Arabidopsis thaliana: one gene and its partners. Each later gene encodes a partner of the first gene's protein in a complex. Each region holds a gene or a part of one and is shown in the gene's direction. Other genes may lie near its edges.

Region 1 (3,755 bases):
TTTAATTAAGCAAACGAACATATTCGCAACTTGAGTTTTTGGGGGGTGTTTGGTGACGTACAAACTTCTCTTCTTCTAGATAAGGAACTATGCACTACAAATTTTCTTAATTATGCACCACAAATTTTCTAAAGTACGATTAAAAAAGAGGAAATCTAAAGCCAAAGTAGTAATCAACCCTACAACAACACATGAGTCACGACTTTCAGTTAACTACAATTATACAAATATTACTTGATTAAGTGGTGTTATCTTAACTAGTGTAATGTATGTTTGAAATTAATAAAGTCCATCTACAAACCATTTTATCAAAACAAAAAATCCATCAAGCAAATTGAAGCCACTCTTATAGCCGACTAACCGTACCTACAAATTTTCTGTTTCAAACTTATGCATATCTATATGGGTGCTTATGATACTTCCTATTAAATTTAATAAAATTAGTAAAAATTTCCCTACCATATATCATATTATTATTTTTTCGATCCAAGAAAGTTACTTTTTAAAATAGTTTTCTATTTTGTGACACTTCTAAAATATTATAAGTGTATAGCCATTTTTCCCCAAACAAGGAATAGTCTATCAGTCTATACAGTATACACACGATTTATTTGCAAAGAACCTACATACACAATTTCTCTTCTACCATGTTAGATTTTTAGTACTTGTTTTACTAGATTATGTATTTTTGTTTGTCTATCGGTCTTTTAATTTTCACTTGCTGGAGGTAAATAATGAAGGAAGTAGTTAAAAATTGAGATAACATAGTTGTGTAGAAATTAGAATACAGTGCAGAACTTAAAAGTATGGTTACGATCACATTGACAACAGTCGATATTCCATTGAGATCACATGAACATTGCTTCGTTAGAAATGCTCGTCGATCGCCTGAAGTAAACCGATTTGATTGGCCACCATGTTTTGCCTCTTCCTGATTTCATTGATATATTTTATTTTTCTTTACTATTTTAAACAACAAAAAAATTTAGAATCCGTATTCCAAAAGTAAATTAAATTTTTGCATACAATTTTTCTTTTTCTTTAAAATATCTAGGTTTTAATATAATATTCCATAATTTGATGAAAAGAATTAAAGAGAAAGTTCAAATCAATCCATATAGCTTGTCCTAGCCTATAGCCAAAAATATTCCTATGCCGCGATTGAACAACCGTTTTTTAAAAATCGTCAAATTAAATCAAACCTTTTTCCATGACAATGAGACTTGGATATAGTTTACATTAGATTCTGATTGGCCCCTTTGATATAACTAGGTAAACTAGCTTCTTGAATAAACTGTCTCTTATTTTGGTTTTATACAAAAAAAAAAAAGCTTTTGGAAAATGATTTAAATGTAAATACATAATACGTAGCGTCTAAGAAGCATATTTGAGAAAATATGGATTTATTTATCTGGTATTTATCCATTAATTTACCTACAAATGGAATCCACCATTAACCAAAAACAAACAAACAAATGGAATCCCGTGAAATAAAGTATCATCATATACATATCTCTCTTTTATGTTTTTATGGAGAGAATTAGTCCAATCCTTCTTCACTGAATTTACCACCTGCTTCTCGTAGAATATATAAAACTACCCTTAAGTCTTTTTCTAATGACTATGAGTTGACAAATGAGAAAAACAAAAACTGCTTTTGTTGGTCATTAAATATTCCGTCTAGATGGAGTTAGTGCTTTCATTGTCATATTCTTTGTCTCCCATCAAATTAAAGCTCACTATACAGCAGATTGTACAACACTATACACTAAAGTTACATTTTTGAGATTTTATTGATTGACAATTTCGTTTCGATATTCTTAGATACACTAAACTCAAATATTGATTTTATGGGAAGAGAATAAAAAATGGATTGTGAAAAAGGAAAAAAAAAAACCTAAATTTGGGCCATATGTGAAGAATACTTCCTTAAGTTTGGGCCATAGTTTAAATCAATAGGCCCATTAGTCTATCTAACGATTCTTTCTCAACTCTTAAAAATCTGACCGGCGGAGATGGCTCTGAGTTGGACCAGTCGGAGGATTAGGGTTTCAACGGAGACTCACTAGTCGATCTCCGATCCTTTCTTCTACCCGCCCGAAATCCGTCGAAACTTCTCTTCTTTACCATTGATTTGCCTCGTCTCAGCTCAATTCTCTTCCGTTGCTGCTTCGTTTAGGTTCGCATTATCGCTTACTTTATTGAATTTTTCCTCTATGTCTCTGGTTTCAATTTCAGCTCAATTTTGTCTTTTTTTCGGTTGAATTTTCTCTTGGGTGGTATCGAATTTTGCTCATGAATGCTGTTTCTTGATGAATCAGAGCCCTCTTAGTTTACTTCACGTCGTTCAATTCAAAACTTGGTGTGGTCTTTTGCAACACAAATCAGGAATAGTTCGTTACTTAGAAACAATAATGTCATACGAGAAGACAAATCTGGAACAGAGAATTAGTAAATTGAGCTGGAAAGTTTCAGTAGTCAAAATTCTCGTAAAACTTATTTTGGTATAATTGTGTCATGAGTCATGACATTCTTTCTTAGGTTTCGTACAAGTTTCTAATTTGAGGTAGATACTAGTTCAGAGGTTCTTTATTAATGTTTGATTTTGAAAACCTTTCTTTACTTACAGTTGTTGCTTCGCTTCAGTACTCTGGTGGTGGGAGAGATGAATCACGGCCAACAATCTGGTGAGGCAAAGCATGAAGATGATGCTGCTCTTACAGAGTTCCTTGCTTCTCTGATGGATTATACTCCTACTGTATACTTTCCTTTGTACTAGTTACAACTTTTTCTCGGCTCTACATGACTGAAATTTGGGTATTGATTGAGTTCTGGATTTTTATTTTTCTTTCAGATTCCTGATGATTTAGTGGAGCACTACTTGGCTAAGAGTGGATTTCAGTGCCCCGACGTACGATTGTAGGTATTTCCGACAAGTTATATCTGATACTTACAATGAAAGAGCAGATAAGTTGATATTGAATGGAATCATTGTTGGGTCTTAGAATGGGTGACCAGTAGTTAGATCAATGGCTTGGTTTAAATCATTTTGGATTAAGGTTTTGCCCTGTTTAACATTCCTGTAAAATGGTATGATAAAGAAGTCTATGTTGGACTAGCACTGAAAAAGATTGGCAATTTGAATGTAAACTTCAGAGTTCAGTTTGAATGCGTAGAATAATGAGGGGATTCTTCTCTTTCTATCAAATTGAGTGCTGAATATTGGTATATTTTAGTTTTTGAGTTTTTCACTCCTGTCATAATCTTTTCCTGTATCTATTCTTGCCAATATTCTGTTTTTTTGTTTACTTGTTTGACAGGATAAGGCTAGTTGCTGTGGCTACACAAAAGTTTGTTGCAGATGTTGCCAGTGACGCCCTTCAGTAAGTTTTCATTCTCTTCACAACGAATTATCATACCCTTTTTCATATTTGACTTGTAATTGAGAAAGAGAAGACACTGCCCATTCTGAGTAGATGAGATGAAAAGATGTCTACGCTAGATTTTCCCAGAAGCTAAAAGCATTGATATAAGCTCCTGAATAATAAAAATTGTCAATTATATACAGGCATTGCAAGGCTAGACCAGCACCAGTTGTGAAAGACAAAAAACAGCAAAAGGTAACATCTGACTCCCTTTTGTTTTTTTTCCCTCTGCAAGACTGCAACAAATATGTTTTGGATGATGACATGAATATTAATGTTTCCTTAACAGGATAAGCGTTTGGTATTGACAATGGAAGATCTTTCAAAAGC
Region 2 (3,755 bases), 1.1 Mb from region 1:
AAGCACAAGAAGGGGGAATACACATCAGTAATCCATGGTAAATATAATCATGAAGAGACGATTGCAACTGCGTCTTTTGCAGGAAAGTACATCATTGTAAAGAACATGAAAGAGGTGTGACTTTTATATTGTCAAACTTTGGATATCCATAGAATTTTGCAAGATGTGTTACTGATGGGGTACCTTATTACTGAGCACAGGCAAATTACGTTTGTGATTACATTCTCGGTGGCCAATACGATGGATCTAGCTCCACAAAAGAGGAGTTCATGGAGGTATGTAAGCTTATTTTGCTAATTCTTTGTATCATTCTGGTTTTTCTAATCTCTATGTTGGCGTTGTAGAAATTCAAATACGCAATTTCGAAGGGTTTCGATCCCGACAATGACCTTGTCAAAGTTGGTATTGCAAACCAAACAACGATGCTAAAGGGAGAAACAGAGGAGATAGGTTAGTTACTCTACCGTTTTTTTACATGACAATCGTCTTTTATCCTTGGAAACAAAAACACCTTAGTTTGAGTCTCATGCCAAAAACCCCACAGGAAGATTACTCGAGACAACAATGATGCGCAAGTATGGAGTGGAAAATGTAAGCGGACATTTCATCAGCTTCAACACAATATGCGACGCTACTCAAGTAAAATTCCCATACCTCAAAAACCATGCATCTAGACAAGTTTTACACTTGAGGAAGTGTTTATTCATCAATACTATAATCTCTTCAGGAGCGACAAGACGCAATCTATGAGCTAGTGGAAGAGAAGATTGACCTCATGCTAGTGGTTGGCGGATGGAATTCAAGTAACACCTCTCACCTTCAGGAAATCTCAGAGGCACGGGGAATCCCATCTTACTGGATCGATAGTGAGAAACGGATAGGACCTGGGAATAAAATAGCCTATAAGCTCCACGTAAGCGCATTTCAAAACTAACTTACTCCTTACCAAACTGCATTCACTGATTTTTTCTATTTTACATTGATAGTATGGAGAACTGGTCGAGAAGGAAAACTTTCTCCCAAAGGGACCAATAACAATCGGTGTGACATCAGGTGCATCAACCCCGGATAAGGTATATATATATTTGCAGCTATATTTTTGTTTGGTTCTCTTGTTTCCCACACGAACATGAGTGAAAATATTTGTGAAAAAATTACAGGTCGTGGAAGATGCTTTGGTGAAGGTGTTCGACATTAAACGTGAAGAGTTATTGCAGCTGGCTTGATTCGGCATTGTGATCGTATTCAAATACTATTTGTCATGTCAAGAGTGTACTAAAATATATGTAGTTGTATGATTTGTCTTTATAACTTTTGTAAGAGGTTTTGTAATTCAAAGTCAACATCCTCGTTATCTTACTCCACTTAATGTTCTTACCATAATCGCAATTAGACTGATATAGAACTTGAGACTGTGTAAGGCTGTCATTATCGAGAAGTTGTCACTAAAACAACTAGGTTATGAATCTCCGCGGTATCGGGAAAGAACTCATTTTCAACAAATCGAGCCACAAGAGTTTCTAAAATAGTTTAATGTAACGAAACTCGGGAAGTTGTCAAGAGTTCTCCCGCGATATTTCGTTATGTTTGGAAAATTTTCAAAACAATGTAATGAAATATCGCGGAGAACTCATTTTCAACAGAATCACTCATCCGAATTTCTAAAATAGCTTCATAAATTTTTACGAAATACCGCAGAAAAACTTATTTTCAACAAAATCAGCCACGCCAATTTCTTATAAAATTTTCCAATAATTTTTTGGGTTATGATTACTACAATTTACATTTGTTTAATTTTAAACCAAAATTTTGGTCTAAAAAAAAAAAAAAAAGTTGGTAGTTAATTTTGGGGTTGGAGCTCTATATAAGCGAGAGATGGCAGGATTCTCAAGACGCATTTCTCTCTGTCTCTCTTTCTCTCTTCATATTTCCCGGTGCTTCGTCGACGTTAGGTCTTTTCCGTTGACGGAGGCAAATTTCTTCGATTCTCTTTAAACCGGCGGTCCATGTGGTCTTACCGACGAGAAAACCCTAATTTCAGGGATTAGATAGCTTTTTGAAACAAATTAGAGCAATGAACACAGAGAGAGCTCAAGAAGGTGATAGGAACGATGCCGCATCTTCCTCTGGCTGCTCCGAGTCCTACGAGTTTAGCCACGCAGCCGCTAAAGCTGCAGTAGCTCAGGTCTGCGAGAGCGTTGGGTACGAGAATTTCAAGGATCCAGCTCTCGAATCTCTATCTGGATTCGCACTCCAGTACATTCTTCAGCTAGGTAAAACCGCTACTTCCTTCGCTAATCTAACTGGTAGGAGTCAGTGTAACGTGTTCGATATCATTCTCGCTTTGGATGATTTGACTGATAACAATGGCGAACAAGGAATTTCGTCTGAGAGTTGTTCATTAGGTCGTTCGATTAAACTTAGGGAGATTATCGATTTCGTTAATTCGAGTGAAGAAGTCCCTTTCTCGCAGCCATTGCCAAGTTTTCCTGTAGCTATAAGTGATAGGAGTAGGAAGATGATCCCAAGCTTTGTTGAAATTGGTGAAACTCCACCTGGGAAACATATTCCTTTGTGGCTACCAGCTTTTCCTGATCCTCATACTTATAAGGAAACCCCTATGTGGATCGAAAGAGTATCAGATCCAAGGGGAGATAAGATTGAACAAGCGAGGCAGAGACGAAAGGCTGAGAGAGCTTTGTTGAGTTTGCAGAGGAAACTTGTTTGTAAAATCTCCTCAAGGAATCCTGTGTGGGGAGATATGGATGGTGTGAAAGAAGAAATGAGAGATGATGAGAGTGAACTGCGTTCTGTATCGTCCGGGGAGAAAGTCGAATCATTGAATAGAGATGGCTTATCAGTGATAGAGGCATTTGCTCCTGCTATGGAGGCTGCAAGAGATGGGTTTTCTAGTGAAGCTCACACTGAATGGAAGAAGAATAAACCTGTTGCTCTTTCTAAGCTCAGAACCGAGAAGAAATTTCTCGGACAACCTTTGGATCTAAGTCTACAGATGAAGGGTGAAGATAGACCCATATCCTTTGTGCGTGAGGAGGATAGAGATGACAAAAGAAGAAGAGCGGAGTTCATTTTGAGACAGTGTATGGAGAACCCAGTAGACCTCAATCAGTTGTAAAATAAGTGATTCATTACAGTCTGTGTAGCGTACTATTAATCTTGTGATTTGTAACCTTTCTTTATACAGGCCTATGTTATGATTATGATTTTGTGACTGAAAGAATGAGAATTTCTAACCTATCTTTTAGGCAATTGATATGATGTCTTTCTCATGAGATTCTTGTTACATAACTTAATGTTAGTTTCAGTTTCATGTCTCATGAGTGGGAGCCAGGGACCAGTGTGGAAGGAGTTTAGTCTTGTATCATTGCTATATTTCCAAACCAAGTCAAGTGGTCTGAGGTAAGTATATTTTCTTTGGTCGACATGTGTTTTGCTTCGTGATGTTTATGGGGTGTGAAACATATCACTGTATCAGAATTAAGATTATGTTATGTCAATTAGTTGAGAGCTCGAGGTTAGAAAGGAAAGCTAGGTTATTGAGTTGGGGCCTTGTGGATTAATGTAGGATTTTGCTTTGGACACTGGGCGATAGATAAGAGACTTACTTCTCTCGTTAATCAAGCCTCTTAAGAGTTTACGAGAACTGAATCCTATCACAGTTCCTTTAACTAACACCCCTAGTTTTCAGATTCCATACTTATGATTTAGTTTTTCGTCTATTAGCCCACCACTCT
Region 3 (3,755 bases), on another chromosome or scaffold:
TATAAGAATGAAATAAAGAGACTATACAATATACACCGTAACAAGTATATCCTTTAATTTTGTCATATGACAATTATTGTTCTTCTTTTTCTTTTTGGACATGGATAATTATATTTTGTTTCATTTTGGTAAATTAGGGTCCTGTTCGTTTGCCTGTGTTCGTTTGCTTGTCTGTGTTCGTTTGCCTGTCGCTGACGACTGAAACCAGCGACAACGACCAAAAGTTGTTTGTTTGCATAGCGATCAAAAGTAACGACAATCGCCAGCGACCAGCGACCGCAATTTTTGGTCGCTGAAATTTTTAGCGATCAGTCGCTGATTTCAGCGATTAGTCGCTGGTTTTAGTCGCTGGATCCAACGACATGCAAACGAACAATTTAGCGATCAAAAAATATAAATTAAAGAATAATTAAAAATAATTAAATTAAACAGAATTAAATTAAATTAAACTTAAAATAAATGTCTTTTTGCACTCTGAACGGTTGTGTCTTTTAATCGCAACTTTCCGTAAAAAATATTGATGGTTGTTTTTTCTCGCTTGTGTCTTTTATTGCAACCTTCCTATATTGTAATTTTCTGTCAAAATATTTACAGTTATTTTTTCCGGTTAGTTATATATATACTATTGAATAACTACGAAATTTAGAATATGCATCATTTGGAGTTAGATTTGTTTTAAAGAAATTATTATATAAATAAATTTATAATATTTTTCTCTGCGATATCAAGAAAGGTTTGAGTTCTAGTTTAATTAAAATAATTCTTATTAAATTAAGTTAAAATAAATTAAATTCAAATAACATAAACTAATTATAGTCAAATTAAATTTGATAAAACTAAAATAAATAAATCTATTAATTTATTTTTCTCATGGTGTATGATATATATGATTTACATTTTGATTTTAAAATATAAATTAGTACCAAAAATAATTAATTTTAAAAAAAAATATAGCGACTGTTTATAGCGACAGTCAAACGAACAACACAACGACAATTATTAGCGATTGTTGATGTAATTGGTCGCTGAGTCCAGCGACAGACAATCGAACAATATATGTTGTCGCTGGTTGCTGTCGCTGGTCGTTGGTCGCTGTCGCTGGATCCAGCGACAGGAAAACGAACAGGGCATAGGTTTTGTTTGTTTTATTTAGTATTTCTAACGTAAATTTTAAAAAAGCGCCAAAATCTAGAAGAAGAGTAATATGCGAGAAAATCACTTTTACTCTTATTTATTTACTTGTCTTGCCAAATTTCCATCAAAATTATTAATTACTTAATTATATAATTTTTGACTAATTATTTACTTTATTGGACCCGGGATATGTAACTAAATGGGCTTTTATTGGGCTGTATTCTGTGGACCATTAATAAACATAATCTTTGAAGTGCAAAAAAAAAAATGGGACCCGGGACAACTAAATCAGAATCGGGGCGGGTTATAAACTTTTCCCTATAAATTACCACTCCGATGTTAATACCCGCCTCTTTGATCCCTCAGACGATTTCTTCTTTCCGTTGTATCTTCCAATCACCCGATTGAGCTCCGCTTCACTTCCTCCGGCTAAATGTGTACATACTCTCAATTAGGAAACCGCCAATCCCACATAACGTTGAATGTCGTCGTCTCGGTTAGATATCAACGAGGGTTTTGTTCTTGGTTCCTTACTAAACAACAAAATTTGACGAAAATTGGTACTTGGGTATGAACGTTGTTATTCCCTAATTGTACCGGAAAATTTGATGGTGGTATGTTTCCCTTGTAGGTTTTCGTTGAGTCGTGGATTTGTTCTTGCTCCTGATTCTTTTCAGTAGTTCCTTTGCTATTTGGGAAGCAAAATTGTCACGCCACTCTTTGCATTCGAGGGTTTTATTATGTCTGAGTCCAACGACAACGAGACTTCCGCAGGTTATATTTGCAGTTTCTTACATGGTTTCTTCATTAGTGTATTGCATTCTCCTAGTTTTGCTCTAGTCATAATCTACTTATTGTGGGATAATTTATTGCTCAGCGTTTTGAGTTAATTAAATAGAAGGTTTTTATGTTTGAGATTTTGATATACGCAACAAGTCCCACCCATAGCAGTTACAAACTGAAACTATTTGCCACTACCAATTCCCGGTCATCAGCTTCACTGACTTGTGATGATATGTCGTGTAGATTATGGGAGCAATGATGAAGAGTATGATGGGCCTGAGCTTCAAGTAGTTACTGAGGAAGATCACCTACTACCAAAAAGAGAGTACTTATCAGCTGCATTTGCTTTGAGTGGTTTAAATTCCAGAGCTTCTGTGTTTGACGACGAAGATTATGATGAACAAGGAGGACAAGAGAAGGAACATGTACCAGTTGAGAAATCTTTTGATTCAGAAGAGAGGGAACCAGGTTTGCTTTTGAAATTTCCGTTTCTTGAACAAAACGATTAGCACACTCTATTCTCTACTTTTGTTTTGTCATTTCATTAATCTCAGATTGGTTTAGTTTTCTCAACACTTATACTTGTTTAGCTCGGGAAAATAATCTCTTGTTAAGTTGGAGTCCAGTGCGTCATAAATACTAGAGATCAGAACTCTTGGAACTTTTCTTAGATTCCTTTTGTGTTAGTGATTATGAGACACTAAACATTATTTTCGCAGTTGTCTTGAAGGAGGAAAAGCCCGTAAAGCATGAAAAGGAGGCTAGCATCTTGGGAAATAAGAATCAGATGGACACAGGAGATGTCCAGGAGGTCAGCAAGAATGATTTCGGTGTCTCAGATAACATCTTTTTTTGTTGTGGAATGATTTTGTTCTGTTAGTGATCTCATTGAAACGTTCAGGAGTTGGTGGTTGGATTATCAGAAGCTACTTTGGATGAGAAACGTGTCACCCCGCTGCCTACGTTATATCTTGAAGATGATGGTATGGTCATCTTACAATTCTCTGAGATATTTGCTATACAAGAGCCACAGAAGAAACGGCAGAAGAGAGAAATTAGATGTATCACTTATAGAGGTATGTGATCTGCAACGGCTTCCTAATTTTGTTTATTCTCAAAAGCCTTTGAATTTTTTGTGCTTTCCATTGGGATGTTAAAATCTACAACAACAATGATTTCTCAAGATTTTCAGTATCTCCCGTTCAATTCTAAAAGCCATTAGGTGTCGAAAGCATGAGAAGTTTTTTGTATGTGGCTCTGTCTTTTCTTGGCAAGAATTTAGTAGATATGTATATTTGGTGCTTCTGAAATGATATACATTATTTTCTCTGTTTCTCTCGTTATCTCTCTGCATTGTTCTTTTCTGTTTGTAATTCATCACTTCTTTTAATGTAACTAGAATAGCTGAGAAAGTTCTATGAAAACAATTATCATATGAGACTCTTACATCATAGCCTTCTTTGGTACAGACAAATACATATCTATGGATATTTCTGAGCTTATCGAAGACGATGAGGAGGTACTCCTGAAGAGCCATGGTAGGATTGACACTCATGGGAAAAAAACTGATCAAATTCAGCTGGATGTTCCCTTACCAATCAGAGAGCGTTCACAGCTGGTAAAATCTGGCATAGTAAGGGATACTACATCAGAATCGAGAGAGTTTACCAAGCTAGGAAGGGATTCATGTATCATGGGTGAACTGTTGAAGCAGGACTTAAAAGACGATAATTCATCTCTCTGTCAGTCTCAATTAACAATGGAAGTTTTCCCTCTAGACCAGCAAGAATGGGAACATCTAATACTCTGGGAAATTTCTCCTCAATTTAGTGCTAATT

What was found.
Region 2: TAFII15 (region 1) and TAF8 share a complex: the UniProt entries of both Arabidopsis thaliana proteins name them as parts of the TFIID complex.
Region 3: TAFII15 (region 1) and HAF2 share a complex: the UniProt entries of both Arabidopsis thaliana proteins name them as parts of the TFIID complex.

What each region holds. Positions count from the first base shown.
Region 1 is NC_003075.7:15,354,615-15,358,369, reverse strand, and holds the start of TAFII15 (TBP-associated factor II 15), read left to right. Parts: upstream 1-1,938; 5' UTR 1,939-2,179; intron 2,180-2,199; exon of another isoform or gene 2,200-2,566; intron 2,567-2,629; exon of another isoform or gene 2,630-2,646; 5' UTR 2,647-2,665; coding exon 2,666-2,758; intron 2,759-2,854; coding exon 2,855-2,919; intron 2,920-3,320; coding exon 3,321-3,383; intron 3,384-3,568; coding exon 3,569-3,620; intron 3,621-3,714; coding exon 3,715-3,755. UniProt on the Arabidopsis thaliana protein: TAFs are components of the transcription factor IID (TFIID) complex that is essential for mediating regulation of RNA polymerase transcription.
Region 2 is NC_003075.7:16,426,152-16,429,906, reverse strand, and holds TAF8 (TBP-associated factor 8), read left to right. Parts: upstream 1-1,896; 5' UTR 1,897-2,074; coding exon 2,075-3,136; 3' UTR 3,137-3,268; downstream 3,269-3,755. Other genes in the region: HDR (4-hydroxy-3-methylbut-2-enyl diphosphate reductase), read left to right, coding at 1-114, 201-275, 345-450, 545-639, 728-913, 987-1,073, 1,161-1,226. UniProt on the Arabidopsis thaliana protein: TAFs are components of the transcription factor IID (TFIID) complex that is essential for mediating regulation of RNA polymerase transcription.
Region 3 is NC_003074.8:6,573,672-6,577,426, reverse strand, and holds the start of HAF2 (histone acetyltransferase of the TAFII250 family 2), read left to right. Parts: upstream 1-1,813; 5' UTR 1,814-1,874; coding exon 1,875-1,908; intron 1,909-2,144; coding exon of another isoform or gene 2,145-2,160; coding exon 2,161-2,385; intron 2,386-2,636; coding exon 2,637-2,728; intron 2,729-2,818; coding exon 2,819-2,993; intron 2,994-3,386; coding exon 3,387-3,755. UniProt on the Arabidopsis thaliana protein: TAFs are components of the transcription factor IID (TFIID) complex that is essential for mediating regulation of RNA polymerase transcription. Core scaffold of the TFIID complex.